Medicago truncatula: one gene and its partner. The protein of the gene in region 1 binds, or shares a complex with, the protein of each later gene. Links are inferred from orthologs where the notes say so. Each region holds a gene or a part of one and is shown on either strand. Other genes may lie near its edges. The genes, in order: nucleolar complex protein 3 homolog and nucleolar complex protein 2 homolog.

Region 1 (16,839 bases):
TATATGTCGTGTGATGTATTGATAGGTATTGAAATGAATTTCTATTTGTGGTATATTTTTTGGTTAATATATGTTATTCCGTAATATTATCGATTACTATTGTAAAAAATGATTTAGATTTCAATTACGTAATTCGATGTTTCTTTAGTTTTAGATTTTAATGAATTTTGATTTTACAAAATTGATGATATTAAAGTGGAAGAATCAAAATTTGCTTAAATTACAAAAGACAAAAGTATCTTAAAGTTTGAAATTTGATATCATATGGGTTTAAAATCGAAGAATCTTCAAATTACAAGGTTAAAATCTAAACAAATTTTTTTTACAGATAAACTAAAAACCGTTAATAATATAGAGATAAACATATATTAACCCTAAAAAATTTTACACGTAAAATTTGTAATGTGATTTTAATTAATTTATTGTAAATAGAAAATAAAACATATATTATTTACCCAAAAAAGATAAATACTATAGAAACCAATAATAAAAATGCAACTATATCCTGACAAAAAAAGATGAAACTATTGTTTTTTTTTAAAGAAAAGAAATGGAACTATATAAAGTAAAAAAATGTCCGTTTAATATTTAAATGCGAGGAAAGATATATTAACTCTAAGAGTAAATCTCAAAAGTTATTCCTGATTTTCCCCTTAAAAAAATTACTCCTAATTTTAACTCTTGGTTTTACTTTAATCCAACGGTTTGGCATGTGTTATAATTATCCTCACGTGAGCACTTATCCGGTAACTACCACTTGATCTTTAAACCCCTCCCCGTTTCAAAATGATAAGGTTCGATCAAATTCTTGAAAATACAAATGTTCTCTTTTTCATTTTCTTAATCTTTTAGATCTGCTAAAAATAATCAAACACAAACCTTAATTCCCTTCCGATCAATTAAGATTCATGTTGTGTTTGAAATTATTTAACTTTTATTGTGTACATTTTCACCGTCTCTGGTAGATGGGTACGTATTGTAATTTCGTTAAACATGGTGTTCTCACTCTCAAGAGTGAGAAATACTTAGTTAAGGACAAACACAAATGTAAAAGGTTTGGGCACATTTCACACAAATGCTTTTTTTTAAGATAAATTGGTTTAATGATATTGAATGATTTGACTAATTTATTTATTATTTAATTTTCTTCATTATTGTATGTGTGCCCAAATACTAATAGAAATCATATTCATGTCATAATTTGTATTAAAATATAGTAGAATAAATTTTTGAGAACCATTCAATTGGATCACACGCAAAATTTGAATACACTATCTAGTCCTACTAGTGTTTTGGCAAAAGTGTTATAATAGGTGTGTGGAATTTTTAAGAGTGTATTTGTAAGAGTGCTATTAAATTAACGTTGTTATATGTCAAAATTGAAATAGTCTTTTTTTTAGTTCAATATCCAAGATTACGAAAATGAAATACAATGTCTATTAAAGATTGTCTTCACACAAATAACATAAAAATACCAAGTCTGAGTTGTTTCACAGAAACATTGAAATACGAATATTTATTACACAACACGATATTTTCAAATATTACAACATTTACTAAAGCCTTTGTTTGGTCTTTGGTAAGCCTATCGTTTTCTCGAAAAATTTTAATAGATCGGAACTTCTCCGCGTGTGGACCTTTAATGAACGCTTCATGGTTCGATTAAGAGCGCCAAACGAAGCCAGGTGGCAGCACACTCTCACCAGAAGCAATAGAACTCTTGTTCTTTTTCCCTCTCTTGACTGGTTTCATAAACATAATTAAAGCTGCAAGTTTAATTTCACAATGTTGCAAGTTTCACAATCAAAATTGTAGTAGTCTATCTTGCAAGTCAATTTAGAATCCTTCTTTTTTTTGTTTGGTTGAAGTGCAACATCAATAGTTGACAATATAAAAATATATGCAATCATGTTTTTGTTCTCTCTAAATATACAAACTTCATAAATTCACGTGTTTCATATTACATTTATTTTAGCCTATTCAAATCAACTTGAAGGTAACTTATGAATTATATATAACTAGTGTAGGTAATTAATATGGTTGTTGTTTAATATACGTTGTAGTTAGACTATTTACATGTGAAACAACACATAGTTGTATAATAATGTATATGTTATAATATCATGTTTTGATATGTGCAATTGAAAAGTTGGGGGAACTCATTATGGAGCATTCACCGTGACAGATATCAGATAAAAAGTTGAGGAAGTTGTGTAGTGAAGCAAGCTATAATGCTGACAAAGAAGTTTCAAACATTCTCCATCCAACTCGTTCCCTAGGGATGTAATGGTGGAACTATCACGGCAGCAGATCAGGCCGTTAATTGGCTCCTTCAAGAGTATGAGAAAATTCCACTAATCAAAAGTTGTTTACAATCATGTTACATATCTATCTGCCAGTGATAATTTAGCATTTTGGAGTTTTTAATATGACAATTTTATTAATTTGAATCTAACTACTAGTAGATACCAACATTTGTTTGAAAAATAAAACAAATGTTGATGTGATCATAAAAAAAAAAAAATAGAAGAAACATTTATCGTTGATAGTTAACAAAACACGTGAACATTATTTTCATTGAAAAAAAAAAAAGAAAAAAAAACACGGGATTGTTTCACAGTGATACATATTTTCATTTATATCTAATTGATGAATCACAAATAACATAACTTTCAAAAAGTTTTGTCAAAAAAAAAAAAAACTTTCAGAAAGTTACAAATTACTTATTTCTCAACTATAAATTATAAACGAGATTAATATTTATTATAAGACATACAATTACTTTTTATAAAATTACACATTTTTAAGATTGATTCTTTTGTAAAAATAATTTGCCTTTTTTTTTTCTTATGTCGTTTATGTAGAACTAAAAAAAAACCATTCTTCATGTGAGATATCATAGAAATTTCTACAAATCAATCAAGACTAATGAAAATAAAAACATTTACACTATGTTTGTTTCTAAGAAAAGATTATTAGAGGGAGAGAAAGTTAATGGAAAGAAAGATTCTTTTTTTTTTTTTTTTGGTTGAATTGCAACATCAATAGTTCAAAATAAAAACATGCGCAACTATGTTTTTGTTCTATCTAAATATACAAACATTATAAATTCATGTGTTTAATATTACATCTATTTTAGTCTATTCAAATCAACTTGAAGGTAACTTATGCATTATATATATATACTAGTGTAGTTTATAAATGTCGTTGTTGTTCAATGTACATTGTAGTTAGACTATTTACATGTGAAACAACACATAGTTGTACAATAATGTATATGTTATAATATCATGTTGAGTTACGTAGTTTATAATGTTTTTTTTTTTTCTGTATGAGATGATAATATGTTCTTGGGCAATTATCCTTGAACTATTTTGCTAATGACGCAATATTTCTCATAATACCTCTTCGTGATTGCACACGCTTTTTCTTGTACTCTTGATGGCACAACAATCATTTGCTTGAATGAAATTTTATGTCTTTCTCTTAAACTCTTTTTTAAACTATTTGAATATAACTAATTAATTTTCATGTCTTAAAAAGCTTTGACATGTATTGTTGAAATAAATCATTAAGATATGTAACACAACTCAATGTGTGTTTTGTCACAAAACATTAATTATAATCTTGTGCGGTTTTCAAGTTATTCGACCATGATTGTTCAACTATAAACATGTTCTTCCTTTAATCTTTAACTCTTGTGGTAACGAGGTTGAACCAATGAATCTCATATTTTTGTTAAATATTCAATCAACAATCTTGTGATTTCATCAATAGTCTTTTGGCATCTTCTATGATCTTGTGATGTTGTTGTTGTAGTATTCTCATGCTATTATAATTCTCCCATTTAGTATATACACGCACATGTAAAGATTTCTTTTATGTCTACTTCTGTTAAAAGACTTAAGTGTAAACATAATACTTAACCTTTATTTTATAAGGTTTATTGTGACATCAAAATGATTTTTGTTTCAACAATCTCTCATTTTTTTATGATGACAAACTTTTTGAATCAATCTTAAGATTTATGGATAAATATAGTAAAAAAATGTAAAAATGTTCTTATGTATGCAATTAAGCTCCCCCTAACACACGTGCAAAAGTTTAATTCATATCATTCTAATTAAACTTCCCCTAAACATATGCAATAGGTTAATTCTTAACATTCTTCATCGATTCTCCATACGTCATAGGTTTCTATCCCATCACATATATTTTCCCCTTTTTGGTATCTATAAAAAAGTATTGGGGATGATATGAAAAAAAAAAAAAAAGAATTATAAATGTGGGAAGCATGAACACAAATATAATGTACATAGGGATCATGTATATGAGGAGTCATATTCTCATATCAAACTTAATCGCTTGCTTTTAACATACATTTCATGTATCATGCTTAATATTCATTTATCAATACATGAATAAAGACAATTATGATCATTTGATCTAGTGCAACAATTTTTGGAATAGAAAAAAATGATTTATTAGTGGATGCGATAAAATCGAAGTCATTTGTAACAATATCAAAAATATTTCTCTCTTCTGAATATTCTCATGTTGAGGATATTTATAAGTTTTTCAAATGATTAAGTTTGTTAAAGGATAATTCTAAGCAAGATGATTTTCTCAATTTGATAGAAATCAATTACATGTATTTCTCAAGAATTTAGATATTCACAATCAAGCATATGATTAAACTTTATTGCATGTGTATGTGTGAGTTCTGTTATGCGCTTATCTTTTAAGTTATTATGCTTAAACGAGATTATAAACATATAAGGTAAGTTTGTAGAGATATATTTATGCACATATATATTGATGTCAATGATGTTACATCACTATTTTTGTCTCCAATTTTTGCAAGTGCATCAATGTAAACATTTGACAATACTGATCAAAATTTTCATGTTAAGAACATACCTAGTATGAGTTGAAGAACAAAATAGAACATTTTATTCTTAGACCAGTTTTAAAGTTTACAACAAAGTAATACATATCATACTGAAACTTAATTATGTATTATGTTTCTTTTAGAAATGTTTCAAAGATAAATCCTAAATTCGAATCCATTTGAAATCATGTTTGAAAAATTATATTTTCATGGGTTAATAGTGTTTTACCCCTTGTTATATAGGTCATTTTCGGGTTTGACCCCTGTAATATTTTTTATTCGGTCCTTGTAAAAAAAATTGTTTCAAAATACCCCATAGGCCATCTAACTATGCATATTTGCTGATGTGGCACGCTGAGTCACATTTTTCTGATGACGTGACACGCTGACTATATAAATAATTTTGTTTTTCATTTTTTTTATGGGTATATGTGGCATATGTGACTATTTTTTTAAAAAATGAATATTTTTTTTTTTGCAAAATTCATTCTTTTTTCAAAATTAAGAAGATTTTTCCAAAAAAAATTCTCGACCTTTATATATTTCAAAATTTCCAAAAATTATAAAATAAATCTGAATTAAATTAAAATTATAAAAAAATTGAAAATATAAAATTATCTAATTTTTTTTATTTTGAAAACTAATTTCTAGAATTTTATTTTATTTTTAAAAAATCTTCAAAATTTCGTAAAACAAATATGATTTTTTGGTGGATTCTAAGGTGAAGAATCAATTAAGTCCCTCACCAGTGTACCGCTAATTTTAACCATTAGATTAAATACACTCATTAGTTACTACCGCATAGGATCTAATCTCATCTCTTTGCAATTTTTTCTTTCTATCTTTCCTATAAACTTCTGCATTTACGCAAAGAAAACTGTCTCCATCCTCACATTCTTGTCTAAAATATTATGGTTTGGTTTACTCAATTGCCACTCTAGATAACTTTTGTTTGATATTTGTATGGACAATTTTTTATTCAAAATTATAAACTGAATTTGGGAAATGTTATTTTATTTGCACTCATTTTTGTGCAGGATTAACAACAGAGATCTATGTGTACTTAAGTTTGATATCAATTTGGTTTCAGATTGTTATTTGAAAAAAAAAATTCAATAAATTTTCACATCACTTCACAATAGGGATTCATATTTTAATCTATTAATTTTTATTGGCATTTCAAAGCAGCAAAATTGAATAATTTTTTTCTTTCTAAAAAGGTTATTTTTGGAGCCATTTATAAATGATCGAAACCACCATTGATGTAATGTTATGAAGGCTTTGAGAACAAAGAAATAGAAGGGGCAGAAGAGGCTAAATAGAGAAAAAAAGAAGTGTGATATAGTGTATACGGTGTATGGTATGATGTAAGAAATTAGATCAATCCGATGACTTTTAATGCTTTTTTTTAATTTCAAAAAAGATTTTATAAAAAATTATGGAAAAAAATCTGAATTTTTTCTATTAAAATTTTGGAATAAAAAATTATCTATTTTGTTTTTAATTTTTCAAAAAATATTATCTAAATTCTGGACAAATATTTTCAATTTTAGGAAAAATATTTTCAATTATGGAAAAATATTATCTAATGTTTTGTTTTTTTTTAATTATGAAAAATATTTTCCAAAATTTTATTTTTTTTATAAAAAAAAATTAATTTCAAAAGAAAAATCTGAACTTTGTTTTAATTTCAAACCTGTTTTTCTAATTATTTTTAAAATTTTTTAAATATATTAAGTTCCAAAATTCTTTTAATTTTTTTTCCATAATTTTTTTCAATTGTTTTTTTAAAAAAATGCACAAATGCCACATGTACCAATAAAAAAAGGAAAAAAAAAATTAATTATACAATTAGCGCGTCTCGTCATCACAAAAACGTGACTTAGCATGGCACATCAACAAATATGCACAATCAGATGGTCTAAAGAGGTATTTTGAAACATTTTTTTTACAATGACCAAATTAGGCATGGCAATGGGGCGGGGTGGGGACGGGTTTTACCTTCCCCGTTTCCATACCTGATTCTCATATACTTACTCGTTACCCTACCCATACCCAACAAGGATGAGAAATTGAATCTCATCCCCGTCCCCGACGGATTCGGGTATCCCCTCCCCATCCCCGTCCTCGCATTGAATATTTTTTTTAATAAAAAATAAAAGTTTTTTTGCATCCCCAAGAGCAACGTTGTAATACATTATCCAACAATAAGCTCACCTTCACATTTGTTAGACAAAATTATTTAGTTGATCCTTTAAATATCAATGGTAGTTTTTATTAACATGACAATTATCAAACAAAATAACATAACATATCAACATAAAATAATTTTTTACATTTGGGACGATGTTTGGGTATGAGTTCGGGGTGGTACCTATGTACCCGTTACCCGTCCCATACCTGTGTTTTGAGATTGGGGAAAACCCATACCCATACCCAAACCCAGTCAAAAAGGGGAAAACCTGTCAAATTGGGTTTAGTTCGAGCGGGTAACCACGGGTATGGGTTTTGTTGCCATGCCTAGACCAAATCAATTTTTTTTTTTTACAGGAGTCAAACTCAAAAATGACATATATTACAGGGAGTAAAACACTATTCATCCTATTTTCATTAACCATATCAAAATATTTGCAAAAACCATATTCAATATATATCACTTAAGAACAAGCAATGAATATGTTAATGAGTAAACTAGAACAAATTCATGAATATCATCAAGTTTTAAACTACTATGAAATTTCAAAGAAGACATTTTTATGATCTAAGTCTAAAGTCTATCATGATTTGTCTTTTAGAAAAAAAATTATAGTTGATCCATGTAAAGAAATGAGAATGGTTCAAATTACAGCTCATGCAAAAACTTGTTTAGAAATGTATTTTAAGAACATTATAATGACTTCATTCAAGAATGCAAAGAGTTGAACTTTGCTAAAATGATGTTGAATCGTTTAGCATTCATCAAGGTATCTCAAAAGACATAGTGTGAAATTACATAATATCATGCAAAATTTACCCTTGACACAGCATCATCTCCTTGTATAATTTAGAACATTAATTCACATTAAATGCATTCTTAACATGTTTTCTAAAAAAAATATTAAAAAATTTGGCAGGATAGACTTAGGCCTAGCAAAACCTGATCTATTTTCACCCTGCAAGTCGGTTCAAAATCTCCTATTTTCTTCTTCTTCTCAAAGTACAACATTGATAACCGAATAAAAAAACATTCACAGGTATCGGTTTTGTTATTTCTAATATACTACAACTTTAGATTTTCTAAAAATTTTCATTTAATAAATAGATTTTCTAAATTTTTCATCTAATTTAATGAGTTTGGGAATACTCTATTTAATCAATTTAAGAGTTTGGATGAAAGACACGTGGCAAACAAACATTCAATGGAATTTTAAATTAAAAATAAATAAATATTTGTTTAATTAAAAATAAAAAAACGCTCTCCTTCTTCTCAAACAGTACGCATCCATTCCTCTTCCTCTTCCGTTTTTTTTATTTTTTATTTAAACAAATATTTGTTTATTTTTTAATTTAAAATCTCAGCCATTGAATGTTTGTTTGCCACATGTCTCTCATCTAAACCCATAAATAGAGCATACCCGGCAGGTACACGTGTATCTCTCATGTCATAAACCCTAATTCACAAAACCCTTTCTCTCTCATTCATTCATTCAAAGAAACTCGCAACCATGGGCAAAAAGCAAAAGCAGCAGCCGAAAATCGTTCTTCCGCCGGAACTCCCACCGGAGATTCACGATGATGAAGTCGAGTATTCCGATGACGATGTCAAATTCGTCAACGAAAATCGTGAATTTGCTTCCTTGATTTCTTCCTTAGACACTAAATCAATCACCAAGTGAGAAATTAATCCCTTTTTCTATTCTCCTTTCAATGCTTCATTTTTCATTGTAAATAATTGTTTCTGGGTACCCTTTTGTTTCTGAAAAAGGGAAAATAAAACTGTCTTTTTGATAAGGTTTTTTAAAGGGTTTGGATATTTGCAGATTTAAAACTTTGAAATTTCCATAGTCATAAGCTATATAGATTGGCATTGACTATAAAAAGTGTTTTTTTATTGATTATGATTTATGGGTCCGTGTGGATTGGCTTATTTGAGTTAATTTACTGACATAAGCACTTCTGAGACTGATTTAGAGAGCTTCTAGAAACAGCTTATGAATCTTTGAAGTTGTTTTCAGCTTATTTCATTCAGCTCTCTTACATAAGTTATGAAAATAAGTTATTGCTTGTATGAAAATAAGAACTTGTTTGAGCTAATCTACTGACATAAGCACTTGTGAGACTGTTTCACTGAACTTATGAACGCCTTATGTTGTTTTTGTAGATAACTTATGCAAACAATTTTTAGCGTATATGTAAATGGTTAGGCTTTATTATATCTTTTGTTAGATAAATAGCTTATATAAAAACACTTAGGGCTCATTTGGATAAGGCTTATTTTGAGCTTATACAAAACAGCTTATGTAAATAAATGAGTTTTTTTGTATTATTATTAAGCTTGTCGTATAGCCAACATTTTTTGGTGTTTTACTTTATAACTTTCATAAATTTTATTTGATGAACTGATCTCTATATGATGAATACATCATAGGCTATGGATAAACTCCAATGAAGCCTGTTTATGTCATAGTTACACTGATAGAGAATCATTCATCCTTTGTTTCATATATACCTACTTTCCTTTGGTTGTGTTTTTTATTGGCCTTGTCCTACTTGAAGCAATTTTTTTCCTCATTTTTCGAGATTAATAATGATAATATAAAGAAGCTTCATCTTTTGTATATTTGGACTCCTGATACTTGTATATGATAGAAATGTAATATTGGCAACTTTGCCGAGGTGATCAAAACCATATTGGTTTCCTCTTTTTCCCTGTTGCCAAAACTTGAATGACTGGAACTAGTTTCATGCTATTCTGATTTATATTGTCAGTACAGTTTTCTAGTGCAGCCAACATATATTGGTTTTTTACTTTATAACTTGTGTAAATTTGATTTGATGAACTGATCTCTATATGAATATAGTTTATGGAAAAAAAAAGTTATGAAGATACAATTTTCGTTTGTGAAAAGTTATAAATTAACATAAAAACTTATTTATTTGCATAAGCCATTTTTCATAACCTCAAAAATAAGCCAATCCAAACGGGCCCATGAATCTGATAAGTGCTTATGCTATAAGCTATTTATCCAAACTGGGCCTATTACAAAAACTTTCTGAGCCGGCATTTGCTTATGAGAACTATTGAGATTTAACCGATGTCGTCTCCTTCTTGTCATGTACAGTGTGGAAATCACTTCCAAATTGTAACAGTGTAGCTCATCTTAATATATTTTACCCATTATAGTTATGAATTTAACTGACGTAGGATATAATTTTTGTGTATCCTAAGGCATGTTACACGGGTTGCTGATGCTAAAGACGATGCTTTGGAGAAACTATATGAGCAACGACGCATGAAAAAAGATGCTAAAAAAGAAACAGAAGAAACAGGTTTGCAGGTTGACCGAGTAGATGCTCTTCCTGTCAAGTCCTTAGATGGAGAAGTCTATTACCGGACAGGTATATAGTGTTCTCTTATATAGAATTTGTGCATTGTCGTCGTTTGTCATTCTTTTCTTTCTTTTACTTGTTGATCTGGTAACATATGCTGTTCTCACATTCTGCAGCCACGCGGACGGCACCAGTAAATGGTCCAAGGAAAGAGGAAACTGAAGAGGATGACAATGAAGACAAAGGTTTTGTGAAGCTAACTAAGGCTGAAAAAAGAGCCAAACTTAAGAAAAGTAGAAAAGAGGGAAAGAAACAAGGGAAAGAGGTGGCTAAAGAAGAAGTGGAAGAAGCACCACAATCAACAGTTTTGGTATATTACCTATAACCTGTTTAACATTATTAATTTAACATATTCTTTGGATCCATTTGATTTGCTAATGAGGGATTTGACAAGACAATACTATTTGCTTCATGTTAGATTTCTAATATAGTCACAGGACAAAACAAGGTTTTTGTTTCACTTTTGATTTTGAAAATAGTCGCAAACAAAACTTTTCAAAATGAAATGCTAAGTATTATCCCTCCTTAACTCTATTACCTATTTCCATCCCCTCTGCTATTAATTCAGATTCCATTCCTCCGGAATTATTATCTTCTTATAAATTCTAACTCGGATACTACAGCACCTCCTGTCCCAGGAGACCCCTAACATTCATCTATGCAAACAAGTTCAAAGTCCGTAATTCATAAAACCCAGATTAGTTCCCACTCTCCTTACACATTTGGAACCTACCACCACTCCCTTTACACGTCTGAAACCTACCATAGTTACTTACTTGGCTGGCACTAAGTGGTTGGCAACGATGCAGTGTGAGAATGATGCATTCATTAATAAAAATACTTGTTGCTCTTCATGCACATAGGCAGGCATTCGACTGTAAATAAGTATTTTAGGTAAAGGGTAATCCACATAGAAATATTAATAAATACAAAGCAGAACATTTGGCAAAAGGATTTCACCAAGAACTTGATTTCCACAGTATAGGAACTTCCTCTACTGCTGTGGAACCAGTGGCCAATAGAATAGGCCTTACCTTAGCACTAACTCATTGGCATATCTAACAGCTAGATGTAAGTATACTCCTAAAAAGATTCCTAGATGAAGAAGTAAATGCAACAGTCTCAAGGGTTTGAAAACTAAGTAATCATCAGTTCATAAGTTTAACAAAGCACTATATGGGCTCAAAGAGACACCCAAAGAATGGTTTGTGAGGCTGGCTTTTGCAAATATTAGGCTTTGGTTTTAATTCAAGACCATCAGGTGTGTTTCATCCCTTTTCACTCTTCATGGTTCCTCATAGTCTCTATGTGCTGGGATATGTAGATGATATGATGATAATTGTCATAGGCAGATAACCCAGTTGATGGAAGGCCAAAAATCCGCCATTGCCATACAAACATGCCACTGCGGCTTATGGCGCCACCATGGCGGGCATCCCTTCACAAATTGCTTAAGGCATACTGCACAGTTAATTGTCTGTGTCACTGGTAATGACCAAAATTCTGCCATATAAATGTGGGATTGCGACCTATGCCGCCACACTGTCTATGGTGGCTGGCACAAAATTGACCACATCATTCCACCATGATGTCACCATTGTGCCGCCATTGCTTCTATTTAACAACCTCGCTTTCATGGAAGTTAACTAATTCTGTTATAATGTTATGTCACTATCGGAATACTCTATAAATATCGACTCTTTGTACCTCTCGTGGTATGAAGTTTCTTGGAGACTCATTTGTTTTCTTTCTTCTCTTATTTACTGACATTGCAAATTCTAATATTTCTCTTGAACTGCTACCTTTTGAGAGGACTTTTTAAGTCATTGAACTCAATAATTTATATAATTTGTCATCATTTCATTGTTTAGGATGAGGTTAAAGAAGATCTTAAAGCTGAAGAGAATTTTGAAAGTAAAAAGTGTAAACTTGCAGAGTTGGGAAATGCCTTAATAACAGACCCAGAGTCCAATATTAAATTTCTGAAAGATATGGTACAGCTATCTAAAGATAAGGATCTCACCATTGTTAAACTTGGACTTCTATCCCTCTTGGCTGTTTTCAGAGATATTATACCTGGGTATGATTAACTGTCATACATTATAATTACAATGCTCATTCTAAATGCAATGATATTATAGTCTGCATTTGGTTTTTTTTTTTTCGAATTAATTCTATTTTTAATCCTTTAACTTTGACATCAATGCATGCAATGTCCAGCTATCGAATCAGGCTTCCTACTGAAAAGGAACAAGAAATGAAGGTTTCAAAGACTGTTAGAAAGATGCGTTTTTATGAATCAACTCTTCTCTCTGCATACAAGGTTTATATTCATGTTTGACTTCTATGTAAATTCATTTTATTACTTGATTTAGCTGAAATAAGTTTGTGCTGTTAGACATGACTTCCTGTTCCAGTGCTTGCACTGTGGTTCATTGTGTTGTCTTTAACCGTACATCTGAATTGGTCAAAAAAATTATGATAGCTTGTTTAAAATTATTTACAGAGTATAAATTTTATTAGATATTTGTGTCACTAACTTTTTTTTTTTCTCCTTTGCTTCTATTTATACACGTCATCAGGCTTACTTGCAAAGGCTGATAGCCTTAGAAAAGCTGCCTTCATTTCAGCTTGTTGCAGTTCAATGTATTTGTTCTTTGCTTGATAAAAATCCCCATTTCAACTTTCGTGAAACCTTGTTGGACGTGACTGTCAGGAACATAAGCTCCAGTAATGAGGCTATAAGGTGTTGTAATATCTTTACTATTGGCCATTATTATACTAATGTTTCTCAAGTATTTATGTAATTTCCTATTGAAGAGCATGGATATTAGTTTCATAAACTCAAATTTTAGGCTGAAGAATCCATCATTGGAAAAGGAAACTACCTGCCATTTGGGGCATAAGGGAAATTTCGTGGGTAATTGGCTATTTGGTGGATTAAAATGCTAAACTACCTTGTGTAGTTCAAGTCTAGATAAAAGTTATTTATACTTTCCATCTTGGTTGTCAATACCGTGGAATAGTGCCACAATCACATTTGTCTTCATTTGATTTTTTAAACGCATGGAAAAAACGTTTGCATTCTTTCTAAATGGAACTATATTTATGCCATTGATGGGGGTAATAACATGTATTATCTACACATTAGCTCCAAGCAGTTGAAATGGTGTTGGTAAGTATATGAAAAATGTTTCCAAATTTGAAGAGCATACATTATAAATAAGAACGCCGATCTTAAAGGATGTGAGTATTATTGTTGACATTGCACTAGGTGTAGAATTTTACAACCCCATGTCCGTGTCAATTGAAAACTATGTTTCCCCGTTACAAATGCGACAGGCTTTACTGGTGTGTAACTTAAGTATTTTTTTTATTCAATAGTTGCAAGTTATATCTTATTTCATTGGCTCAACTCTGGTCGGTCAGTAGCCAGTATGGCTTCTATATGTTGAGGGTCCAAGACCAAAAAAAATTCTCATGGTTTTCCAGTTTTTGTTTGCTCATATAATGAATATTAGCAATGATCTATTTTTTGTTTCTATATTTGTATGCATTTATACTTGCTAAGATATTCTTGTTTTTGTTCTGCAGGAAATTTTGCTGTTCCACAATTAAGTCACTCTTTACAAATGAGGGTAAACATGGTGGTGAAGCTACTGTGGAGGCTGTCCGGCTGATTTCTTATCAAGTTAAAGATCATAATTGCCAGTTGCACCCTGATTCCATTGAGGTATGATACAAGTCCTATGCTACCATCCCTTTTTTTTTCAATGTTTTACCAGAAGTCCTATACTTCTCAATCTTTTGTTTTTTGATTCAGGTTGCTATTGCACATTTTTGAGTGTGATGTAATCATGATAGCTATTTGAGTTTAACTTATTTGATTTGAGTGTGTGATGAAATCATGATAGCTATTTGAGTTGAACTCATTTTATTTGATGTGGAATATTTCACTGAGCATAAAGCTGTTAAGTGATGTTTGTTCTTTTCAATGCTTATATCCAGGTTTTCTTGTCTCTTTCATTTGATGAGGATCTTGCGAGGTCTGAACAGATGGAAAAGGATAAAAAATTTAAAGACAAGAAATTTGGTAAGAAAAGAAAAAATACGGAGGCATCAAATCAGTTGCCTGAAAATGACAGAAAGAAAAGCAGGCAAGAGTCGATTTCAAAGACAAGAGAAGAGGTGATTATTTTTCCAATAAGAATCACTCTGTTCTGGATTTTTGGTTGATAGCAGAAATGAGATTCTACCAATGCTTGTTGTAGGTTGAAGCTGATTACAAGGCTGCTTCCTTTAGCCTGGATGTTATGGAGAAGAGACAGATGCAAACGAAAACACTCTCTGCTATGTTTGAGATATACTTTCGCATTTTGAAGCATACGATGCAGTCCATAGTTGTCAGGTGTGTTTTAATCTATATCATGTGTATTACTATATTACTATGAAACATAAATGTTGATGGGTTTGTAAATCCTGTTGCCCATATAATAAGATAATTGATGCTTTGATATATGGACGGCTGGCTTAAATTAAAATGAAACTGCTATAATAATAAAAAAATGGCATTCAGGTAAAATACATGCTTGAAGAATATGGATGCGTGATCCCCTATCATGTTCTTGAATCTTGATTCAAAATTCCAATTACAATCAATATGCGGACATTGCATTGACTTGATAGCATGTATTTTTACCATTTTGACCAGTAGCTTTCACAGTTCTTGGTTTGTTCTTTATGACCACTTGTGAACAATACTCATAATTTTACCCGTGTAACCAATTATTCATACATGCCTATAGATTGTTCACTCTAGTACAATTATCTGACAAAAACATCATCAAGAGTCTGTCTGTATAATTTGATCCCACTTCGTTTTTTTGGATTTGGATCCTCTAAAGTGAGTAAATTAAAGTGAGAAAATCAACGGTTGGAATTATTTTTACAACCGTTTCCACTTCCAAACCTTTTCCTTTCTGCAACCCCCCTTATTTTTTTTCTCTGGAAGAATTCATTGCACACACTTAAACTCAGATCCACAGTCATTTTATATATGCTTATGGATCCTTATGTTGGAATTATTTCCATCTCCAATTTTTTTTTGCACTATTGGAACTTTCAAATAGTTATTTTTGAGCTCTACCTATCTTTTTTTTGTCTACGAAGTGAACTTCATTCTGAAGTTTGTGCGTGGCTGCAGCTGTGAGCACATGTGCATGTGGAAATTTTAGTTATTGTTCCGGGCAACTTGAATATGTAACTGAAAGGAAAATGAAGATTAATGAGAAATCTGTCGGTTTAAAGATGATGCCTTGGATATCTTTGTTTATTTCATATTCTACTATGTTTTGTTTTAATTTTCTTTTCATTCTTATGTATCTTCCTATGCTTTCATTTTTCTCACATGCACTTTCTATTTGTGTTTAACTTTTAATAAGTATTGGATGAGAGTTAATCAATTCTATTATCATGGTTTGCTAATTTTCTTTCACTTTCTTGGTCAGGCCTGAAACAAACCCTGGGGCACTTTCTGCTGCAGTTGGAATGGAACCCCACCCATTGCTTGATCCATGTCTGAAGGGACTGGCAAAGTTCTCGCACCTGATTGACCTTGATTTCCTGGGTGATCTAATGAACCATTTGAAAATACTTGCTGCTGGAGGTAGCAACTTAAGCAACACATTGGAGAAGTTACCTAAATGTCTGACCGTATCTGAACGCCTCCAATGTTGCATCGTTGCTTTTAAAGTGATGAGAACCAATCTCGATGCCTTGAATGTTGATCTACAGGACTTCACTGTCCATCTTTACAATCTCGTACTTGAATACAGGCCTGGGAGGTTTGTATTAAAATACATATCCCATAGTCCTTTCTTTTCCCAACTGACCAATATGTTATCATTATAGCTGTTTGATGTGATCTTGCATGTTAGTTTGCTTGCACAAGTATTCATATATAGTTTAGTATTGATAATTATAACAACAAACCGCACTATTAGATATTAATGATGATTATAACAACAAACCACACTATTAGATTAATGATAATAGATGCAAATGCAATACATTCTTGGGTCTTTATCTAACATCTTAAGATTTTAGAATAAGTAGATATCAAAATTGTCAATATCATATGGTTTTTAATTACGAGTCCTGTCTTTTCTTCCCTTATTTTGCGAATTAAATTATGTTTTAGCACTAAAGTAGCACTTGTTAGAAAGTTAGGATATGAATGAATTAACATGAGTTCACTTGATTCTGAATGTTTGAGTTATCTGATTAATAAAGTGTCGCCGTTTCTTTTGTCTTTTATTTCTTAGCTTGAATGCTCAACTTATTATTAATTTATGTATCAT
Region 2 (16,049 bases), on another chromosome or scaffold:
TAATTTTCATCCCCATGCCATTTATGGGTGAATTTTGTTGACACCGGCTTATTCATTAATTATGTGACCGAGCTTATATGGTCATACTAGTAAATACCCATGTCAACAAAAAATGATGAATAAATGATGTCACATAATTAATGAATACTATGTCACATCAGTAAAAATGAAACAAAATGAGGTGAGGGAAAATTCAAAAGGAAAAAAAAAAGTGAAATTGAGGACAAAAAAATTGTTTTTTAATATAGTGAACTAAAAACTCATTTAAAAAAAATAGGAGATGAAAAGTATATATTTAATCTTTTATTCTTTTTTGACTTCCTAGTATATGTAGATAAAGGCTCAAACATTAGGTAAGTCTTAAATAATTCCGTATTATAAACCAGTTCGCAGTTGAAGGATTATTTAATGTGTTCTGATGCGAATTTGAATGCGATATTTTAATTTATTCGTACTTAAGTTGTGTGATTCCCATCTGACAAAAAAATGGATCAAACACGTACCATAAAAATTCTTTAAAAAGAAAAAGAACTTGTTTTATATGAACACAAATAAAAAAATTAGTGGCTTATGATAAATAAATATTACAAAAAGGTTCATGTTTGGAAAAAGATTAAACTAGAATCAAACGAAGGATAACAGTTTCCATTACATTACCTAGAAGAAAATAATTGAATTGGGTCCAATATGACTCATAACAAAAAATCCACCATTTAAAGAAGGGTCACGTTAACTTGTGTCGTAATTAACATTTCCCTTTAAAGAATTTATATGATTGGCTAACACATCCGTGAATTGGTTAACTTCACAAAAAGATTGTTTCACAACGACCTCCAACTCAAGCAAGCGATGTCTTCTCAACTAAAGACTTTCCAACAGACGATCACTTCCATTTTTTATAAGAACATTAGCAACCGCTAAAGAGTTCATATTTAACTCTACCGTCTGAAATCCGACTTTCTAGCATACAAAACCTTTATACACTCTCCGATAGCTATTGTCATATAAGCATTACACATCTCAATCCTATTAGCAAAACCACACAACCATTCAGCTTAACCGTTCCCCTCCTCTAGGGGCTTCCAACAAATTAAGACCCATTCACAAGTTGGAGTTGCAATCACTTTTTTTTTTTTTTTTTTTTTTGAGATAATCTAATGGTTAGAGAAATTCATCTTAAAGGTGAATAAGTGGGGTGTTCTGGGTCTGATCCTCAATGCATATATTATGCATTATCTCTTACGAAATGAGTTACAATCACTCTATTAGCCTCGTAAAAGATAATTTTAAATTAATGAGAATATATGTTTTCATCGTGGAGGCAAATGTCATTGATTTGAATCTGTCGTACACCAAAACATCTCGTTTACCATTTTTAACAATCACTCAATCTCATAATACACATTAATGTTGTTTTTGTATTTGTTTTTCCTTTTTTTATTTTTATTTTTATTTTTATTTTTATTCCTTTTCTTCAGAGTTAAGTCCATGCCCCCATATGGTTGTTAATTTAATTTAATTTACTTTTAAGAATGTTGAAATTTGGGCCTAATTCATCCTCACAAAACCGATTTGTGAAATGAGGAGTGCCTCCTTTTTATAAACGATCATCAAGAGTCTCATCTATCTGATATGACTTGAGTTTTTTCCAATACACTCCCCTCACGCCCATCACTCATTGGGCTTGGTGTGTGAATAGGTAGGTGATCCTTGAATTCGACAAGCTCTAATGTTGAAATTTGGGGCTTAACTCATCATCACAAAACCGGCTTGTGAAGTGAGGAGTGCATCCTCCTTATAAATTTTCATCAAAAATTTCATCTATCTGATGTGAGACTTGAGTTTTTCCCAATAAAAAGTATTATTGCTATTTTTCTAGCAAGAAAAATCATTATTACCATCTTTGATTTATTGTGTGACGAAAAGTCTAATAGAGAGATTCCATGTCTTTTCCTATTTCAGGAGAAATAATAAGATACTCCATCCATTTTAAAATGAGTGTCGTTTTGGCCAATTGCACACAGATTAAGGAATGGAATAAAATAGTCAAATGTCATAACAATTTTACTAAAATAACCTTACTTTATAAGAATAAGACAAACTTAAAGTTACATTGAAAATTGTGTGAGAGAAAAGTTAGAAGAAAAAAATTAAAGTTGTATTGGAAATGTAAAATAACATTCATTTTGAAATAATTTTTTTTGGCTAAAGCGATACTCATTTTAAAACGGAAGGAGTATTAAAAAACTAAGAAGTTAACCTATTTTTAATACGCCATTTTGTTAAAATATTCATATACATCTTTTTTGAGAGCTCATATACGTCTTATTTGCATCTGCTGCATTTTAAAAAAATAAAAATAAAATATATATATATATATATATATATATATATATATATATATATATATCTTTGATCTGGAGGAGGGGGTCGAGTCTGCTGAAATTTCAATAAAATAACCACACAGTTGCCAACAAGGAAGAGAGTAATAAAACAACATTACAACAAGCTTTTAATTTTCAATATGGTTACTTTTAAATGTTATTTTATAGCTATAGTGGAAGAATTAGAAAAGAGCAATGATCTTAGATTCAAATGGTGCGTTAAAGAAAGTACTAATAGAAAAGCAAATTCTACATATAAAAATACAACTTACAAACGCGTCAACAATATCTTACACAATTTCCTTCAGTCCAAAAAAAAAAAAAAATACATAATTTCCAGTCAAAAAAAGATCATACTACGTAATTTTAGAGTTAGAAGTTAGAACATGAGGTCTCTTTTTAAAAAAATAAATAAATATGTGGAGGTTAAAAATGTTTTGCGCCGTCTGCGGGCCGGGTGGGTAAGAGTTACAACTATGGAGGTCCATTGTGTACTAAACTCTTTTTTTAGGCTATGTGTGCCTAATATATAAACAAACTAATTAATGAATAAACAAACCAAACAGGTTAATTCGAGAATAAAAAAAATAGTGCAACCAAATGGGTTGACAGAAAACAATGGGAATAATAAATATTACTTTACATCGTTGAGTTTTGATTTAAAAACATATGATTGTGTTTCTGCGAAATTGTGGTTCGATTTGGTTCAAATTTGGAGTTCTAGTCTTAGGAAAATCGTGATGCGTTTTGGATCAAGATTCATATTGTATGAGAGCAAATTGTGGTGCTAGTGTTGGAAAACAATTGGGAAACACCTTGGATAGTGAAATCGTTGAGTTTCTTGATCATGCGAAAGAGATTCGGAAAAATGGTAGAAATTATAATTGCTCTTGATGAACTTGTTAAAGCTAATTTCTTGTCTTTTTTTGTAAAGAACTTTAGATAGTGAATTGAAGATCTCTCTCCTCCAAATATATGTCATCGTTGGGCCGAACTGGGTGAACAAATCCTTGGTGTTGTTCTCTATACTCCACTCTCTTTATCTTGATTGTTCTTTGGTTCGATTGTTATATTGCTTTACACTTGGTTGATACGTTAGATCTAAATATGTTGTTGCTGCTTGTGATTATTAATAAACTCAATACAAATATCAACTTTCTTAATTCCTGTTATTTTACCAAAAGGGACTTCAAAATAGGGACTAAGGTAGTAAGCGCATTTGCATTTATTTCTTATAAATGATAAAAATAATAACATTTACCTTTATTTTATTTTTTATGAAAATACTCACATTTACTTAAGAACTATAACCAATATGAGTATTTTAGTCTTTAAACATTTATTTACCATAAAAAACAATAAAATTAATCATTTTCTTAACAATTGTGTTGTGTGGTATCTAAAATAACACTTATAATAAGACCGAAAGAGCAGCAAGAAATTTTCTCTCTATCACATATTTTTTAACACTACTTTTTGTTTTGTTGTTAAAATTGATAGTTATTCCATTTAGATTTTAATTGTTATGTCATAAGTGAAACACAATTATTATGCATATAAATGACCTATACACATCTAAATATTTGGTATTGGAGCTCGCACTAAATCATTAAGAATTATTTTTTTAATAAGAGAGAGTTTTGCATGATCACAAGACTTAATTAAAAAAAAATGTTGGGAGAGAAAACAAAGTAAATGATATTTTTAAAAATAATTAAATGATTTGTATTTTTTCAAATATTCGTCCTTCATTGTTTTGCTTTTTGTAAACATTAATCAACAACTTTCTTGTACGTATCTTGTAAGTAAAATCCTTTTCAAATAGTGAATACTTGAAGTTCAAAATCTCCACCGGTCAAATCAAAAAACACAACTCATCAACTATAGTATATCTCAAATTTTATATTTGATAGTTGTAGCTCCAATGTCAACGGTCAGCATTGTTGGCCAAATAGTTTATCTTAATATAAGCTTATATATACACTACCTACCCTCTCTTCCCTATTCACCAAGTTTCACTTTTCTTTCTCCTTTTAGCAAAACAAAACATTTGTTGCAATAATATTGAGTTGAACAAAAAAATGAAGCCTGAATCAAAGTTGCATGGTTTTTATGATCAACAAAAGAATATGATCAATGGTCCTCGTCCTTCCCCTTTGATGATACGCAAGCCTAATTCATCACACAAACAACAAAGGGTTCCCATAATCATTTACACACAATCACCAAAAGTTATTCATACAAAAGCACAAGATTTCATGGCTCTTGTTCAAAGTCTCACAGGCATGTCCACTACCAATCAAGTACTTCCACGTCAGCTAGAAGTCTCTGAGAATTTTGAGTCATCTTTGTCTGATGGATCAAACAATAATGGTGATGAAACTACTTCAACTAGTTCGGTTATTAAGAGGGAATATAATATTGATGAGAATTGTGATAAGGGTGGTGTAAATAGCAATGTTGATTATAAACATAGTCCTTCTAATATGATGAAGTTTGCTGATATGCCATTATTCACTCCAACTTCACATGATTTCTTTTGCTCTCCATCATCACGACCAGTGTATAAATTTTCTGATTCTCCATATGGGATTTTGGGAAGTTTGATATCTCCTTCTGGATTGGGATTCATCCAAGATCTACCTGAATATTAATTCATTCATCAACTAATAGGTGCAAGTTGTGTGCTATATTAGGCTGGTCTCTTATTTGTTAATTAATTTGTTGCATATTTATTTTTTTGTAAAGTTTGTTGTATTGTGGACATAAGAAATTGACATGAATTACTAGGAGATTTAATTCATTCTTTCTAGACATAAGAATTAGCAAAAGATTATTCATTTGGCTTTAATTTGTTACACTAATTTCATTCAGTCTTGTTTTTTTAGTGTATAATTCACCTTCCAATTTAGCAGTTGTTTATATATTTAGCGTCTTCCTCTTACCAACCCCAGGCTAAATAATGGTAAAAGAAAGGGGAAGAAGAAGTATTGTGTGAAACCAAACTAACCACGAATATGGTCCATAATTTTATCACGTGTTTAATTATAACTAATGGATCGATGAATTCAAGCATCTAGCTAGTCAACGTGAAAGACAATGCAATAAGTTTAATGGATTGTTGTCGGTATTTTATATATATATATATATATATATATATATATATATATATATATATATATATATATTTTATGTTAATCATTTTATTTGTTGGGGTATGGACTTTATTAATTAAATATAATTTGATATCTCACTCAATAATCAAATTGAAATTCTATCGAACGATTCATCTTTTGATGAAGTTCATTGACCCTTAAGCCAAATCACTTGAACAAATTTAAGATTTTTGTCGACATGTTATATTGTTGTTTGAATTATTATTATTATCTGATTTATCTATCAATGGATTATTATCAGATTAGAATCCCCTTTGATGAAGAGCTGTACAACGCATTATGCAATAGCAAAAGTCAACTCCTTCCTTATCATACTATTTTTATTTATTTTTAACTGCAATTTGAAGTTTTCTATAGTTCAATTACCAATATTTAACATTTGGTTGGAGTTGCAATTGTCAATTGATTATAACACGCCACCGGCAAGACCCCAATATTTATTTATATTAAAGCTACGTTTCATGACAACAGTCAATAATAATAGTAATAAAAGAGAGGTTTGACCAACAAAGGATAAAAACCTAATAGAAGGGGCCCAAACTCCTTGATGCCTATTAATGTGCCACAGCTATGGATAATTGATAACTTAATTGATAATTGCAAGTAAAATCTATATCTATAATAAAGACATGTTTAAAAAACACAGCTATGTGGCTTCTAGGATAGATTCTCAGATAAATGAACTACTGCACAAGCTAATAATCAAATAATTTTTTGATGTCTGCATAAGACATGGTAGTTAGGAATTCAATGACCTTTGGTTACATTGATAACGAATTTAAGGAAGGAAGATGAACGGATTAGATTTTGGCCCAAATTAAAAAAGTTGTAGTTTAATTGAGTTAGATTTCTTAAGGGAAAATGCTACAAATTTTTAATTAACACAGAAATGACGAAGGATTACACCGTCACCACATTTGAAGCACCACGCGCGGGAGGCTTAGAATGTGATTGTAATGTTAGTTTTGCTTCCTATAACTTATTAGGTATCAAAAGTTTGTTGCTTATTGATTTGTTCTCTTATTGTAATCTTGATTATGTCCATGATATGCCTCTTAAGCATGTTCATAGAATGAGTGTGAGTAAGGAATTAGAGGGATAGTTTTCACTATTAACATATCTGAATTAGTTGTATCATTTCTACAAGGAGCTTATACATTCCATCCATTGTAATCAACCTCTGTTATACTGTAGTAATTATTACGTAGAGTTTCCCTCTAAGTGAATTATATAATCCAATATTTATCCTAATTTGGTGTTTCCTATTAGTCCCTAATCTATATTCCTTAACATGTCAATATTTTTTATTTGTTTAATTTTACTTTTTTTTTTTAGAAGTATTGCACATGGAAACCTAAATATGATGTAGGGATTCACCAAATTTTTAATTACTCAACAATATTTGATTTTGATTTAACAAATTATCAACTCGAATGTTCAACCATAACTATAAATAACAAAACATAGAAAAAAAGTTGAATTATAAAATAATAACATCAAATAATGCAACACAAATGAATGAATAAAAAAATCGGGGTTGAATGGATAATGAGTTAGAACCCGATCCCATGATCGGTTCTTAACTCATGACAAGTTCGTCGCATCAAGTTCCAAGAAAATCTGCCAAAAACCAGCAACATATACGGGTTAAAAGAAGCAATATCTACTTAATCACGTTAAATATGTGTCGAAATCCTTTGCCAATGCTTCTTTGATAATTTGAGACACACTTTTTGGAACAAAAAAAAGGTTTTGGAAGAACGGATGAAATAGCAAGTAGGTTGTGATAGAAAAGTGTAGTAAAAGTGAGCTGGGCAATGTTAGAAACAGATTGATTCGTAAGTCCCAATCTTGAGTGAACTAGACGTAATTCCCGATCCCAAACGACCGGGAATTAAAACCTGATGGGAGCATTTTTGGCATTTCAAGGTGTATGTGAGCAATTAAAGATGTTTTAAGAGTAATTTTATTATTGTTTCTTTAATAAGCCCAGATACAAACTAGCAAAATAAACAAGAAGCCCAACCCATAATAACCTAATTTTTTTTTTTATTTTTTATTTTTTGTCTTAAACCCCAAATATGTTTTTCTTGTTGGAAAACCCTAAATTTGTTTCTGAAAAGTAATAAGCTACGAATTCTTTGTTCATCTTTCTGCAAAACAATAAGTTTCGATTCAACGCCGTTTCTATTGCAACACGATGGTTGGAAGAAAAGCGGCGGTGAAGGAAATAGTTTCAACACAAATTGATAAAGGTTCTTTCTTTCTTTCATTATTTTAATTTACTTTTTTATGTTTTCGTTTTTAATTCGTCTCATTTATTTATTTTGATTATATTAGAGATTAATGTGGATGGAGCAGAAAATAATGTAAAAAGAAAGAGCAAAAAAAATTCGATGGTTGTGATTGAAGCAAAACAACATAAGGAGCAAATAGAAAATCTTCAGCACAAGGTTAGACCCATTACATTGTTGTTTCTTAGTATACTAAGATACCTGTGTATGCAACTTTGCTTGTTCTTTTTTGTAGGATTCTCTTTAATTCAGGGTCCGTTTGGATTGACTTATTCAGCTTATATTGTTACTTAAGTTTTATTTAAATGTCTGAGCTATTTTCGGCTTATTTTCATAAGTTCTCTAAGATAGCTTATGAAAACAACTAATAGCTTATACGAAAACAATTAAACTTTATTTTATCTTTTTCCAAAGAAATAGCTTATACATAAGAAGCACTTATGCTATAAGCTGCAAGTAAGCCACTTGTCCAAACAGGGCCTTAATAGCTAAATATAAGTTTTGTCGTTTCAAGCAATGTTTATCTCTAGGCCGTCTGCCCTTGTATAATTTTATTAGAGAAATTAGACATATTGCATGTCCATAGGGTAGACGTAGACTAAGACAAGTAAAGGTTTTGATAATTTAATTCGCATTTCAAATGCTTGTATGTGTGAAATTTGAACTAGGTGGTGGTTGATAGGAAATTGCCTTTTATATATTTATTGGGCTACATTCTGTTAGCAATGTTATTAACAACCTTTTCCATTGCAGGACGAAGATTTTTATGAGTACTTGAAAGAGAATGACCCGGATCTGCTTAAGTTCAGTGATGACGATATTGATGTATGTTTCATTTTGACACTTCCTATCTAATATCTGTCTTGTTTTTGCTTCATACATTAATTGAGATGAATATGGTTCCGTGATGCGTTGAGCCGTTGATGTGAGATGTGTATTCCAAATGGTTATCATGAATAATATGCAGTATCTTCTAATGCCTTCCTAGATATGGGAAAAAATTTCTTAGCTACTAAGCTTGCATTGGTTATCAATCTCTTTACTTCTTCATACTTTTGTTTGTTTTCTATTAGAAAGATGTGGATGCTAAGCTTGCATTGTTTGTTTACCCAATATTGCTTGTTCCTTTTTTTTCATCCTAAAAAGGTCATTGCAGTGGATAAATGATGGGTAACTGGTTTCCCTTTAGAGCCATGTTTGTGGCGCAACACAACGAAATGTAAATTCAAGGCAAATGCTAACATGTGCTCTAAGGGCACATGTTTAGAAACTAAATAAAGAAGCATTCATCATGAAAGTCGTGCATTCAACTTTTGAAATTATTTTTTCATTGCAAAAGTTCCATTTTGGGTTCATTATTATGTGCCCTCAGGGCACACATTATCAAGATCATAAATTCAATATGGCGTTGCTCATATTGGTAAACCACCAACCCACCAATCCCTGCAGATTCAATTTTTGTTTCTTGGGATTTGTATTTTTTAGACCTATAGGCTATATATCTTTTAGGTTCAGGTTATGGTTCTCCTATTAGATTTTGAGAAGACACTTTGGGTAGAGTCATGATATTTATTGAATCGGTTTTACTTGAAACTTATGATCTATCCTTTAATCAAGATAGAAAAATTTGGACTGTGCTTGAGTGTTTGGTGGTAAATTTAAATTGGTTGAAGAGGAATGCCGGTATTGTCAAGATTGCTCCTTTTTGCTGTTATGTTATATAGGATTTCACGTTCATCAACTATATTTGGTGCAGTGATCATAATTTGTAGGGAATCTCAAGATATTGGTTTCAGTCTTTTTTTTTTATTTTTTTTTATTTTTTTGTATTTTAATTTTTTTTTTCTGTTAACTATTTGCATGCATTACTAAATTGCTATCAGTGTGACGCGTTGTTAGCAATAGAAACTATATATAACTGTTTCGCTTCTTTTATCCAGGAAGATGTGGATGATGACATGGAAGATGGAGAACCACAGGAAGATGAGAAGGCTATTGAGCATGAGGTTCAAGCAAAGGATAAAAAACATTCTAATAAAGTTATAACCACTTCTATGGTTGATTTGTGGTGCAAATCAATTAAAGAAAATGGGAGCTTAAATGCGGTTCGTTCCCTGATGAGGGCTTTTAGGACAGCATGCCACTATGGTGATGATGATGAGAATGATTCTACGGCAAAACTTAGTGTAATGTCTAGCGTTGTGTTCAACAAAATAATGTTGACTGTACTTAATGAAATGGATGGAATACTAAGAAAATTGTTGAAGCTTCCTGCTTCTGGTGGAAGAAAAGAGATCATAATGAATTTGATGACCACAAAACAATGGAGGACTTATGGCCATATTGTGAAGTCCTACCTTGGAAATGCTCTCCACGTTTTGAATCAAATGACTGACTCACAAATGATATCATTTACTTTACATCGGCTAAAATATTCTTCATTGTTGTTGGCTGCTTTTCCTTCACTCCTAAGGAAATATATTAAGGTACAAAGAGTTCATTGGTCACCTCATCATTGTTCACTACAAAATTCATAGATGAGCATTAGTAATTTTAAGTTTCTGGCTCTGTGCTGAATATGTCTTCCAATGCTTGGTGATTGTGGCACCATTCGGTCTTGTGCAGTAAATGATGAGAAAGCTTAATAGATGGACAGAAATCAACTAAATTTTTCTGAAATCTGGATCATATAAATGATACATTTTTCCGTACTTAAACAAAATTAAGAATAGTATCATTCGGTAAACTTTCTGTTGCATGCAGTTTTTTTCCCCTGTAAGTATATACTTCTGGTAATGTGAATGAAAAGGCTTCAATGTAAAGAACATTTGTGACTTGCTAGGACATGTAACTTAACATATGTCTATTCATTTGGTAAATCACTTTCTTGTTGAAATTATCAGGTGTCTCTTCATTTCTGGGGTACTGGTGGAGGTGCCCTTCCTGTTGTTTCGTGTCTATTCATGAGAGAGTTGTGCATCTGTATTGGATCTGGCTGCATAGATGATTGCTTTAAAGGAATATATAAAGCCTATGTTTTGAATTGCCATTTCGTAAATGCTGTGAAACTTAAACATATTCGTTTTCTTAGCAACTGCGTCATTGAACTTCTCGGAGTGGATCTTCCGACTGCATATCAACACGCCTTCATTTTCATTCGACAGTTGGCCATGATTTTAAGGGACGCACTTAATACAAAAACTAAGGTGCTGTTTATTTGTTCACTATATGTTATTTTCTTCCTTGGTACTGTAAGAAGTGCCTCATAACATTTTGCTGTTAGAGGGAACCAATCCTAACAATTCATCTATCCTGACTAGCTTGACACTTCCGTATCTCGTTAGTAATGAGTAAAGGAAATGTGACCAGACATTCCTTAATAGATTTGTTTTATTCGTGTTTGATTGGAGCTTTTCACTAATCAAAACAAATTGTTTATGCATTTTTGACAATTTTATTTTATGGTTCTTACGTTGCTCTTCTCTGTCTGAATGTTTTCTTTAGGAAGCTTTTCGCAAGGTTTATGAATGGAAGTTCATTAACTCTCTTGAGCTTTGGACTGATGCTATTCGTGCTTATAGTTCACAATCTGATTTTAAGCAACTTGCATATCCACTGACCCAAATAATTTTTGGAGTAGCCCGTCTAGTTCCCACAGCTAGGTACTTTCCCCTTAGGTTGAGATGTATCCGGATGTTGAACCAGATTGCTGCTTCTACCCAATCTTTTGTACCAGTATCTATGCTCCTTTTGGATATGCTGGAGATGAAGGAGTTGAATAGACCCCCTACAGGAGGTGTTGGCAAAGCTGTTGATTTACGCAGCATATTGAAGGTACTTGTTACTTGGTGAAATCGTGCATTTGTTGATAACTTTAAATCCACCTAACCTTTTAGAGGTATTCTTTCATATTAGATTAGCAAGCCAACTCTTAAGACACGGGCATTTCAAGAGGCTTGTGTTTTTTCTGTGGTTGAAGAACTTGCGGAACACCTGGCACTATGGAGTTACTCTGTTGGGTTCATGGAGCTGTCTTTTATCCCAATTGTGAGGTTGCGCAACTTTTGCAAATTGACCAAAGTTGAAAGGTTTCGAAGAGAAATGAGGCAGCTTATTCGCGAGGTATCTTATTAAAATGATCATAAACCTTTTATGTTTTACTTTTATCATTGGCATGCATCAAATTTTGTGGCATTCATCTCTAATATTTAATTTTCCACTCAGATTGAGGCTAATGTCCAGTTTGTGAATGAAAGGCGCATGTCAATTTCCTTTCTACCTAATGATCCTGCGGCATCATCTTTTCTTGAGGTTTGCTCAGATTTTCTCTTTACTTTTAAGGAATGAGTGAGAGTATTGATTGTTTCCTTGTTGGATGTTGGTTGACCTTTTTCATTCATTTGTTTACTTACATTGTAGTCTGCTCCATGTTTCAATTCTTCCAAGCTCTCTGCTACCTGCATAAAACTTTTTTCCTTAAGCAAATAAACTTCTATAGGTTGTTACTTTATTACTGAAGACCAATGAAGTGATTGATGATGCTATTGAGTTATTTCATTTTGGTCTATATATCTGGCTAAACACTATCGTATGGTGGGAATTGAATGAAGTCATTTTATTGATGTTTAATGTTTTTGTGTTGCCGTTTTCTTTTCCTTTATTTTATTATATAAGTCTGTATAGATTATCGTCCCACTTATTTCACGCCTCAATGTCACTTTACTTTAAATTAAATGCCCATTTATATTTGAGAATTGTAAACAGTCAACTTGATTTTGATAGGATGAGAAGAAGTCAGCCTCTAGTGCACTATCAAAGTATGTTATAACACTCCGCCAGAGAGCAAAACAAAAAAACGACTCATTAAAGGAATCCAGGTTTGAATTTTAAAATCACCTCCATTCACATGGATTACTGTGTCCAACATGCATACATCATTATCATATAGGTTTCTTATATAACTTAAAAATTTCCAGTGTTCTTGTTGGAGAAGAATCCTCTGTTTTTGGTGATGAAGAATCAGCAAGTGATGAGGAGGATACTAAAGAGAACGAGGATGCCAAAGAGAACGTGGATGGAACTGCTGCATTTAGCTCATCCTGGTTACCCGGAAATGACAAGTATTGCTCTTTTTCTTTGTTCATCTTTCACTGACAAACCCAGCTGCATACACAAACACACGTACATTTGTGCACATACTACACGATGACATAAACACAGGTTTCTTTTTACTTTTTATCTGAGGAATGCTTTGCTTTCAGGATAAAACAACAGCCTACTGAACCAAAAGGAAAGAGGAAAAAGCATAAAAAAGAAAAAACTGCCATTGATGATGATGTTGTGGAGGACTTGGTACTTAGTTCTGATGAAGATGAAGATTTGCCTTCAAGCGACAGCCCTTCTGCTGGGAAAAATGCCGATATTGATCATCATTCATCTCCAAAACAAAACCGCAAGACAAAGCATAAAACAAAAAGGTTGAAAAGGAATAAATCTCACACCTAAGGGAAAAGTGATATGTCTACTTTGCAATCTCTATATCTTCTTCGTTGACAGAACGACCTCTATCTCTATTCGAACTTTTATTGGGTTAATGAGAGAAAAGTTTTGTAATTTTATAAGAAATTGTTTTCAATTTTACCTTGGAAGTAAAGATTATTGACATATCTAAATGTAATGGTGACGGCTGCAATTATATTTTTGTTTACAGTTAAATTGTCAAGGGAAAATGTACTTTTCCTGTTCTAATATGCCAAAAACAAAAGTTATATAATAAAAAAATTACTGGTTTTCTATGAAATGAGAAGATAAAAAAATAATTTGAACATGAGAGAAATGATAAGGAAGATAAGGAGTGTGTGCTTTTCTATGAGCGTGTAAGGAATAGAGTGAATTGCCTATAATATTACTGGTTTGATTAAGGAGTTGGAGATTTTTGAGTAAATATTTAACCAAAAAATTAGACTAACTAAAAAAACGTTAAGTTATTTTAAAATTTCTAATAAGAATTTATTTTGTAAATTCAACAACACACATGCTTTTTTCCTTTGTCAAATTTCACCAAAGAATAAAAGTGAAGGAATTTGAAGTAGTTGAGGTTGAATAAAAAAAAATATAGCATGAAAGAGAATAACAACCAATAACTAAATTTCAAGATAAAAAAAATAAACAATTGACAACCGAAAACTAACAAAATAAATTATCATAATGTTGGCATAATATTGGGATTTCTAGGTGATTTTTCACTGGGCTGGATGATCGTATTAGGGCAATAGCAACCATACAAATGAGATTGACACCACAACTTCACATGAAACCTTAAAACATTAGGTATTTTGGTCATCTGACATATATGTTGCTCAAAATCTACTATTCCATCCATTGTATAACGTTAACTCGTATTTGACACATTAACATATCCTAATCAATTGTGTGTCTATCTACGTCCGTAATTATGTTAAGTAGTCAAATAAGATCAAAATTAGACACAACATGTTCTAACAAGTTGATTGATGGTTATTTCATGAAGGAATGTTTATATTCCTTTCATCTATGAGAATTAACTTCTCTCTCCTAAATGTGAGACTTTCTACCTCTGTAATTTGGTGACATAATCAAATAAAGTAATATTGAGGCACAAAATGGTAGAAAAGGTTGGTTGATGGGGTTTCATGAAGAGATGATTATATTGATTTATTTCATGAGTATAGAGAAAATGAACCAGAAAAAAAAATAAATAAAAAAGAAATTTTAACATGAGAAAAATGAAAGAAAATGAGTGTGTGCTTTTACCTGAGAGTATATGGAATAATGTGAGTTGCTGGTAATTTTGCGGGATTGTTGAAGAATTAAGAGTTTTGGGGTAATTATTTTACGACAAATTAGACTCAATTAAAGAATCGCAACATCAATTTAAATTTTTTAATAAGTATGTTTTTGTCAACTCAGTAGAACACATATGCATTTTTCCTTTGTTAGATTCTACAAAAGATCCAAAGTGAAGGAATTTGAAATAAGAGAGGTTGAATAAAAAAACAGCATGGAAGCGAATGGCGTTCAATAATCAAAATTTAGGATAAAAAATTTAAATAAATGAGATATAAAAGCGAACAAAATAATTCATTATAACTTTGGGACTTCCAAGGGATCTTACACTGAGTTTTATCACCATATTAGACTACGAGATACCATACAAGTGAGATTGATATCACATATTCACACAAAACCTTAAGCCAATAGTATGTATATGAGTCATCTCACTTATATGTTATTCAAAATCTTCTCTTCTATCCACTATATAGAATTTTAACTTACACTTAACACATTAACATCGCTTATTCAAGTTTGCAACTCTCTGTGTCCATGATTACATGACATAGTCAAATAATATCAAATGAAGACACCATACGTTTAAAACGGTTGGTTGGTTAGTGGTGGTTTCATTGAAGGAGGTTTATGTTCCTTTCTCACATGAGAAGAGAGAAAGGAAATTAGAAGTAAGAAAAAAGATACGAAAAAAGAATTTGAACATGAAAGAAGATAATAGAAAAAAAAAACTAATCATTGTGTGTTTTGTTTGTGAAGGTATAGAAAACAATGTGAGTTGTATGATAAATCTATGAGGTTACTCAAGGAGTTGGAGATTCTTTGGAAAAATATTTTATCAAAAAATTAGATTCAATTAAAAAAAACACCACATATATTTAAGTATCTAATAAGCATATATTTATCAATCCAACATAACACATTGACAATTTTTCATTTTCATTTGCCACAGACGGCCAAAAGTAAATAAATTTGAAATAATTGAGGTTGAATGAAAAATTCACAAGAAAGAGAATGACATTCAAAAACAAAATTTTAAGATTGCAAAGTTAAAGTCTTAATTGAAGATATAGTCCCATATTTTCAGCAACTCATGAATCGGTCCGTTCATTTTAAAATCACTCAGCTTCACTGTTAGGAAATGCAAAATTAGGAGGAAAGTTAGTGACGGAAAAAATAAAATCTTTCATAAATTCCTTGGTCACAAAATTTAGTAACAGGATTAGAGAGGGATTTCATGTTATCCCTCACTAATTTTTGTTTTTTAGTAGTGTTTTGGTCCCTTTCTGCTATTTTTAGACTAGAAAATGATGATGTGACATATTTTAGATGACCTTGCATTTGGTCTGATGATGTAGAATGATCAATAC

What was found.
Region 2: nucleolar complex protein 3 homolog (region 1) and nucleolar complex protein 2 homolog share a complex: the UniProt entries of both Arabidopsis thaliana proteins name them as parts of the nucleolar complex. The link is inferred for Medicago truncatula from reciprocal best matches to the Arabidopsis thaliana genes AT1G79150 and AT2G18220.

Annotation. Positions count from the first base shown.
Region 1 is NC_053048.1:32,673,870-32,690,708, forward strand, and holds the start of nucleolar complex protein 3 homolog, read left to right. Parts: upstream 1-8,542; 5' UTR 8,543-8,595; coding exon 8,596-8,762; intron 8,763-10,319; coding exon 10,320-10,489; intron 10,490-10,596; coding exon 10,597-10,790; intron 10,791-12,351; coding exon 12,352-12,560; intron 12,561-12,700; coding exon 12,701-12,803; intron 12,804-13,062; coding exon 13,063-13,226; intron 13,227-14,074; coding exon 14,075-14,213; intron 14,214-14,488; coding exon 14,489-14,668; intron 14,669-14,751; coding exon 14,752-14,888; intron 14,889-15,987; coding exon 15,988-16,323; intron 16,324-16,839. UniProt on the Arabidopsis thaliana protein: May be required for synthesis of 60S ribosomal subunits and the transport of pre-ribosomes from the nucleoplasm to the cytoplasm. Also required for initiation of DNA replication.
Region 2 is NC_053042.1:53,570,931-53,586,979, reverse strand, and holds nucleolar complex protein 2 homolog, read left to right. Parts: upstream 1-7,650; 5' UTR 7,651-7,760; coding exon 7,761-7,815; intron 7,816-7,900; coding exon 7,901-8,013; intron 8,014-8,607; coding exon 8,608-8,679; intron 8,680-9,794; coding exon 9,795-10,340; intron 10,341-10,757; coding exon 10,758-11,060; intron 11,061-11,358; coding exon 11,359-11,688; intron 11,689-11,769; coding exon 11,770-11,976; intron 11,977-12,078; coding exon 12,079-12,165; intron 12,166-12,636; coding exon 12,637-12,731; intron 12,732-12,830; coding exon 12,831-12,974; intron 12,975-13,115; coding exon 13,116-13,359; 3' UTR 13,360-13,576; downstream 13,577-16,049. Other genes in the region: VQ motif-containing protein 8, chloroplastic, read left to right, coding at 4,466-5,038. UniProt on the Arabidopsis thaliana protein: Together with SWA2, probably involved in pre-ribosome export from the nucleus to the cytoplasm.